Daphnia pulex: one gene and its partner. The protein of the gene in region 2 purifies or fractionates together with the protein of the main gene of each other region. This does not show direct contact. Links are inferred from orthologs where the notes say so. Each region holds a gene or a part of one and is shown on either strand. Other genes may lie near its edges.

Region 1 (4,324 bases), on a different chromosome or scaffold from region 2:
CTCCGCTAACAAATAGATGCACAGGTCGATCTGACGTCAACATTTCAGCAGCTCGTTGACTTCCTACTATTCCAGCAAGTCTCGGAGCATCAAAGGTTGAATATAGAACTGTACAAGTCTGACTGCCATCTCCTCTGTACTTGGGATTTTGAAATGCGTCCTGATTACACAAAATAAAAAAAAGGAGAAAGCGAAGAAAAATGAAGCACAAGGTTAAATTAATAATAACATGGAATTAGGGTTACCTGAAGAAGGTTGCACAGCTCTGGGTAGAAATTGGGATAAGTTGGTAATTGGTAGAAAATGATGTGATGAATCCCTTTCATTGTGAGCCGTCGGTAGAAATGTAATCGTTCTGTGTAAAGTAGCAAGCGCTTCTTGCCGAGAAAGAAACGATTACGGACTTGCGCAAGCTTTCCGTCTGGCGTGTATTCACATGCCTGAAAACACGCAAGAAAATTAATGACGTCACCGTTAGAGGAGAAACATTTTTTTGCTTACTTGGCCAAAGTTGTAATCTTCCTTGTGAAGATGATTCCTTAATCTTACGTAATCGTAATACGAAGGAATGTAAATGAGTGTATTACTCATTATCTGGTCGCGATACTGCGGCAGGATCTTTTTAGTGAAAAAGTGGTAACGATCGTCGGCTGACTGGGCCGCTGTTGGCGTAGGAAATCGGTGAAATGCTTGAGGCAGCTGGACAAGTACTCTGCAAACAGTTGTCGATGATGCTGTAACTGCATTTTCTATGCGTACTTTGCCCGCAAAATTCGTTCCACGACGGGAAAAGAGCGCCGCAGCTTCGGGAAGCGCTACGCTGCTAAAAATTAAATTCTGCCTGTAGTGAGCAGAATAACCGTTTAGCGCCCAAAGACGGACACGACCTGCACGCACAATTTTATTGCGTTGAAAAACTGCAGACCAATAATAAAAGAACGATTTCAAATCATACCCAAGTCCGTGTCATGCTGTTCTCGTGGTTGAAGGTGCAAATGTTGAAAAATATGCAGAACGTGATCCCAATTCTGATAAACAAGGAAAAAAAGATGTTGGTTGACCTCAATACAATTTAACAAGAAATGTTACCTGCATATAAAGAACATCCGTCTGATCAATCACGAGCACTTCGATGCTACAGAGAAAGTCAAAGTCTTCGGCAAGTAGCGTGCGTGCTCCCAGAGGAGATGCGATAAGTATATCGGCTTTGTAGAACCCAGCGTAAAGCTAATACAGGTTACACAGAAAAAAACATTTGATCAAAATAAATGTAATTCCATGGAGTTTGGTTGTGGTTTACCTTGAGAGTACGTTTGGCAACAGAGATGCCTATCCTGAAAGAATCGTCCGTGTTTCCTGTAAATACCGCCTCAAAATCTTCTGGTTTGTAGCTCTTTTTCGTCTCTGCTTTGCCCTCGTCATCTTTTTCCTCACCAAACTCTTTATAGAAACGATCTTTATTGATAATTTGTCCTTTTGCAGGAAGCAACAATGTAGCTAATTTCTCCACGATCCTGAAACAAAAATAGTTAAAAATTAGCAAAGAAAATGTATCAAAACTGTGATTGAACTTACTTCACTGCAGAGTTTCTGAGAGGAGCGATAATTAGAACTCGAGGACGGACTAATCCTTGATCTCTATATTCTATTTCATCGGTCGCAACGCCATTTTCTTTGGCCTTTTTCAATTTGGCGTTGTGAAGAAGAACTTTGTCTCTCGATTTCATTACATGATTCAACGAGTGAAGGCAGTAAACTGTTCTAATCTCGTCATTGTTTAAATGGTTCATTTCAGGATAATAAACGTCGCGGTATTCATTTGCGAGAGTGAAAAGCTCATGCTGTAATGGGGAGAGCAGTTCTTCAGCCGTTTGTTTGTTGTCCGAGAGTGGCCTCGTATCAAGGTTGGAACATAATTGCAATTTAACACCGTATTCACTCAAGGGGATTCCAGTTTTCAATACAGGTAGACTACCAGGAATGACATAACTTTCTATTGTTTCACCTAGTAATGTAGGCTTTGGTTGACTTGTGTTTTTTTCAGGTTTGGTTGGCAGGTGAACCACCATTCTTCCAAGAACTTTCCACTTCAGTTCTTGAGTCTCATAAGGCTTGGGTGATGTCAGGATTTCTAAAAGGTTTTCATTTATTTCCCTGTCGAAATGAAGGTGGAAGGGATCCGTAGATAATGTTTCTTCTTCTTCATCACCAGAATGTTCTTCTTCCTCTGATTCAACTTCAAGATCTTCATGTATACTATTTTCCTCGTCAATTTCTTCAGCAACACCAACTGAACTACCACTTTCCTCTTCTCCTACTTCCTCATCGTCTTGAGCTGAATCTTCTTCTTCACTGCCAATGTCATCTTCATTAGATTGGTCATTGATATCTTCAGCTTCCTCTTCATCTGACTGTTCTTCATCAGATGTCAAAACTTGCTGTGCTCTACTACTGGATTTAAACATCGACAGCAGCTGTGTGTAAGGTTTGACTTCTTCTTCTGATTCACTGCTAGATGATTCTTCTTCGATAATAGGCACAGCCTCTTTTTCTTGTTGAAGCTTTTGTCTTTTACTTTCAGAAGTGTCATCTTTTTTTCCATCTCTATCTTGATTAAATTTCCTTTTGTTTTTAAAGTTACCTCCACCACGAGTCGATTTGTTACCACGGGAACCGTGGTTTTTGTAATTGCCACGTTTAGGCCCTCCTCGTCGTCCACGTCCCATTTTAAGAACAAAATAACGTTCGAATTTAATTTATCTGAAATCAAAACTCAAACTCAAATGCACGTGTCAAAATGAAAACTTTGATTGCAGACGTCCAAAGTTGCAAGAACAACACAGTTGATTAATTACAATTTAATAGTGTGCTGCCAAAAATGTATCAAAAATATATTTATTTAAATATATTTATTTATTTTATTCATATTTTTTATTTTATAAATTAAATTAAATGATTCCTTTAAAGTTGAAAATATAAATTGCCAACATGGCAACCAAAAATCACCAACCAAAATGGCGGGCGTCTGCTATCAGGGAATTCTACATCACCAGTGAAAATTAGTTTATTTACCGGAAAAGTTGACAGGTAGCAATCCTGCTTATATATAGACTGATTCACTGTTTAATAAAGCCTTCGAATGTAAAATTATCGGTGCCGTCACGATGGAAGACCGTTGTTTAAACGGTGGAGCCGACATGTTTGAATAATCAAAGTTTTGGTTATTATTGTTTGTGTTTTTGGATCGTTTGTTGTTTACCGATGGCTGGGCAAACGGATCTGAACAGTGGTAGTGTAAGTGGAAACAGCAGCCGGGACGATGTGCGAACTCATTTCACAACCAGAGAGGGAGTATATAAGTTGATAACATTAGCCGAATACTCCAGGGCAAATCGGCTGTCTGGTTACACTGCCATCCAAAGCCAGCAAGGAGCTGCGCTCGGTCAAGGTTCAAACCCTCCAGTTAGGGTTACTTTTGTGTCTCTACCATCTGATCCATCAGGTTTTTGTGACCGCATATGTTTCAACTATGGAAGGGAACTCTACTTCTACACCTACAAGGGAACCAAGAAACCAGCAGACTTGTCCAAGCCTGTTGATAAAAGGATTTACAAAGGAACCAGCCCCACTTGCCATGATATCAATAAATTAACAATCAGCAGTGAAAGTGTTATGCTTCTAGTTGGTTTCACTGGCGGACAAATCCAATTAGTAGATCCAATAAGGAAAGAAATAGGAAAACTTTACAATGAAGAGGTTTCTTGAGATTTTCTGTTTTCTTTATAAATTTATGGAATTTCAATAACATTATTTATTTTTTCCTTCAGAGAATAATTGAAAAGACGAAAGTAACATGTATCAAGTGGCTGCCAGGTTCCCCCAATTTGTTCCTAGTTTCTCATGTTTCGGGACAGATGTATCTGTACAGTGAAGATGTGACGTGTGGTGGACCAGCACCTCCGACCTATCAACTTTTTAAGCAGGGGGCCGGTTTTTCGGTCTGGACTTGTAAAGCCAAAAGCACTCGGAATCCCATTTACAGGTTATTATTCATCATTTCATTTTTAATCATTAATAAAATCAGGTTAAAGACTCCTCCCATCTAACCCCATATTTGGTTGTTAGGTGGGTGATTGGAAACGGCGCCATCAACGACTTTGCCTTCTCACCTTGCTCGAAATACTTGGCGGTTGTGTCGCAGGATGGGTGTCTGCGCGTTCTCAATTATGATGCCATGGAATTGATCGGACTGGCAACATCCTTTTTCGGCGGCTTGCTCTGCGTCTGCTGGTCACCCGACGGGCAGCTGGTAGTGGCCGGCGGC
Region 2 (3,051 bases):
TTAATAGTCAAGGTGTTGGTGCCAACGTTCCCGTGAACTTAAGCATGTCGTTAAACGACGAAAGAAGTGAAGTTACCAGCTCGTCATCGTCGGCCGACGATGAATCGCCCGCTGATTTGTCTAGTCGCAGTCATCACCAACGTGAAGATTCGCCGATTCCGCCATCGTATCAACATCATCCTGACTCATCACAGCTAATGCATGCTATGGCGGCTGCTTTCTCCTTCCAGCGGGATCTGATGGCGCAACAAAACAAGTCTGACCATCTTAATCAATCAGATGCAACAAGTCCGGCCTCACCTGCTGATCCTTCTCACCTGGTTGCCAAAGCCTTGGCCTCGGCCACCACGAGAAGGCCGAGGAGTGAGAAGAAACCTATTCCCGATGATTTGAAGGATGGCAAATATTTTGAACGCCGACGTCGGAATAATCTTGCAGTAAGTGATCTATAAAAATTTCCAAATTACAGAATTTTAAAATTATCTTTTTCTGAAGGCTAAGAGATCTCGAGACATGCGGAAAAACCGTGAGGATCAAGTTACAGTTCGCGCCAATTTCCTTGAGGTAGGATTTAATATCTAGTAAACAATTTCACTGGTTATTCATACTTCAATTTGAGTGTTTTTTATTTTGTAATTTGACAGAAGGAGAATTCGGTCTTGAGAGCTCAAGTGGCCACTTTGAGAGACGAAGCATTCGCCTTGAAGCAAATGTTATTGCACAAGAACGCTTCCGCCATTCTCCGTAGTCAAGCTGCCACCAGTTGAGCTTACGTTGTGGGGAGAACAAACAAGAACTTTGTCCACGTTATTGTTTTTACCTTTATATTTACCAATGCTAATCCCTCCTGTTTAACTGATTTCTCTTTCGGTTTCAATCCATCACGTCTTTTATTTATCATTTCTTTTTTAGACGTGCTCGTCTGCTATCAACCGACTAAGCTTCACAGTGCCAAAAATAAACGAAATAGAAATCAGTTTTTCTCTTGTCGACAATCTTTCAATCATGACCATCCGTCCTTGATTTTTTTTTAAATATTACACAGTTACCCACATGTTGAATACATTAAACAAAGTCCTTGGTGAAGACATCTTTTATCAAGAAACTCGAGTCAAAACTCAGAATCAGTCCTAAATGGAAACGTCGCATGTTTTAACAATGTTTTTTATGTTGGAAAAAACAGGAATTTACGTGGAAGCATATGACGCATATTTTTAGTTTTAATACAAGCTAGCTGTTGGCGATGCACTTTGAAATAATAAATATTTAAAAATAAGAACGAAGGGCTCGAATATTAGATTGTAGCATGCTGCCACCTAGTACTTTGTTTAACTATTAAAGAGAATTCAGCAGCCACACACGTGTGAGATTTCCGTCGTCTGCAAGTTGTCTTTTTTTGTCTGCTGTTTGTAGTTTGTATCAAACTTTTCGTGCGTTTCGCGAGGGGATTGCAAGGTTTAGCAGCTTTATTCTTCAATAATTAATTTCGAAATCAGCAACACATCTCTGTTCCAGGTAGAGTACAACGTCATAGAAATAAACTCATCGATTTTTTATTATAAGAATTAACTCATAGGATTTCTGTGCAACGTCTGAAAAACTAACAAAACAGAATGGTCCGAAAACTAAAGTATCATGAACAGAAATTGTTGAAAAAAGTAGATTTCATCTCCTGGAAGCTTGACAACAATGTTCATGAAGTGCAAATTCTTAAAAGATACAGAATTCAAAAAAGAGATGATTACACAAAGTAAGTGGATTTTAAATGACAGATTTCTTAAGAAATCATTTTGACGATGTATCTTAATTGCAGGTACTGCACACTTGTAATGCATGTAAAAAAGTTGGCAAACAAGATAAAGGAGCTCGACCCCAAAGACCCTTTCAGAGTGGAGTGCAGCGCTGCTCTTTTGGAAAAACTGTACAATTTTGTTTTCATATAATTTCTGAAGGTTACTTGACTGTTATCTTAAATTTAGATATTCCATGGGTTTAATTCCAACCAAGTGGTCCCTTGATCTTGTTTCCAAAATAACAGCATCCTGCTTCTGTCGAAGAAGACTTCCTGTGGTCATGGTTAGGGCAAAGATGGCAGATTCCATCAAAACTGCAACTACATTTGTGGAACAAGGACATGTCAGAGTTGGTCCTGAAGTGGTAAAAGACCCAGCATTTCTTGTTACCAGGTACTTATTAAAACTTTTCAATTATTGATTGCATATAAATGACTCAGTTACTTTTTTTATGAATTAGAAATATGGAGGATTTTGTGACCTGGGTAGACTCCTCAGCTATTAAGAAACATATTATGGAATACAACGAGATGGTAATAATGATCATTATTGCAATTTTTTAAAGAAATTAATCAATTTCATTCCTTCTATTTCAGAGAGATGATTTCAATATGGCTTGACTTGTTTGACGAAATGCAACTTGTATGGAAATACATCCCGTTTTCTATCTACTAAATATCGCTCATTTCCTGTCATTTTTAGAATAAAATTAATTCATTGAGTTAGATAAGTATACATTCTAGTTCAAACTTCTCCTCTGAGGTTAATGGGGTTTCCGTAGTGCTTCAAAGGGGGGGAAAACCACGGTTAATCTTAAAGGCTCAAACATTCATCGACACGGTAGGTTATTACTAACCCTTAACCGGAAAATTTATACAGTTTTCCATTCACTTTTGATTGAATCACAAGTGTCAAGGAAACATGGCTGCCAATATGTCCTTCATTTTTGTTTGCTTAATATTCATTCATCTAGTTTATTCAGGATTACCTTTTAGATCCAAAAAATTCAACAGGCAATCGAAAAGTACATTGCGGAATTACCAAACTGAATTCTTTAACGAGGTAATGCTCATGCATTTATTACGTTTATATGAAATTGTAATACGTTTCACTAAATTGTCAAGGTTTTCCAAGACCATTGGGACCGTAAAATGAGAACTCTTGATCCAAAAGCAAATAAGAGTTTGTGTATTTTATTATTCTCCCAATTTTATAATGGAGTGATATAAAATGTGTTTTACTGTAAAATTCAGCTGCT

Evidence for each region.
Region 1: the proteins of U3 small nucleolar ribonucleoprotein protein IMP3-like (region 2) and U3 small nucleolar RNA-associated protein 25 homolog purify together in Homo sapiens (affinity purification with mass spectrometry; 3 studies listed by BioGRID and IntAct, with this or other methods). This does not show direct contact. The link is inferred for Daphnia pulex from reciprocal best matches to the Homo sapiens genes IMP3 and UTP25.

The regions. Positions count from the first base shown.
Region 1 is NC_060023.1:10,108,937-10,113,260, reverse strand, and holds the start of U3 small nucleolar RNA-associated protein 25 homolog, read right to left. Parts: upstream 2,902-4,324; 5' UTR 2,727-2,901; coding exon 1,576-2,726; intron 1,515-1,575; coding exon 1,301-1,514; intron 1,228-1,300; coding exon 1,090-1,227; intron 1,029-1,089; coding exon 956-1,028; intron 888-955; coding exon 502-887; intron 441-501; coding exon 246-440; intron 161-245; coding exon 1-160. Other genes in the region: WD repeat-containing protein 20-like, read left to right, coding at 3,262-3,756, 3,828-4,042, 4,126-4,324. UniProt on the Homo sapiens protein: Component of the ribosomal small subunit processome for the biogenesis of ribosomes, functions in pre-ribosomal RNA (pre-rRNA) processing. Essential for embryonic development in part through the regulation of p53 pathway.
Region 2 is NC_060021.1:8,086,536-8,089,586, forward strand, and holds U3 small nucleolar ribonucleoprotein protein IMP3-like, read left to right. Parts: upstream 1-1,354; 5' UTR 1,355-1,515; intron 1,516-1,576; 5' UTR 1,577-1,613; coding exon 1,614-1,750; intron 1,751-1,813; coding exon 1,814-1,921; intron 1,922-1,979; coding exon 1,980-2,186; intron 2,187-2,253; coding exon 2,254-2,326; intron 2,327-2,389; coding exon 2,390-2,413; 3' UTR 2,414-2,469; downstream 2,470-3,051. Other genes in the region: transcription factor VBP-like, read left to right, coding at 1-437, 496-564, 645-767; uncharacterized protein LOC124194159, read left to right, coding at 2,715-2,855, 2,918-2,981, 3,047-3,051. UniProt on the Homo sapiens protein: Component of the 60-80S U3 small nucleolar ribonucleoprotein (U3 snoRNP). Required for the early cleavages during pre-18S ribosomal RNA processing. Part of the small subunit (SSU) processome, first precursor of the small eukaryotic ribosomal subunit.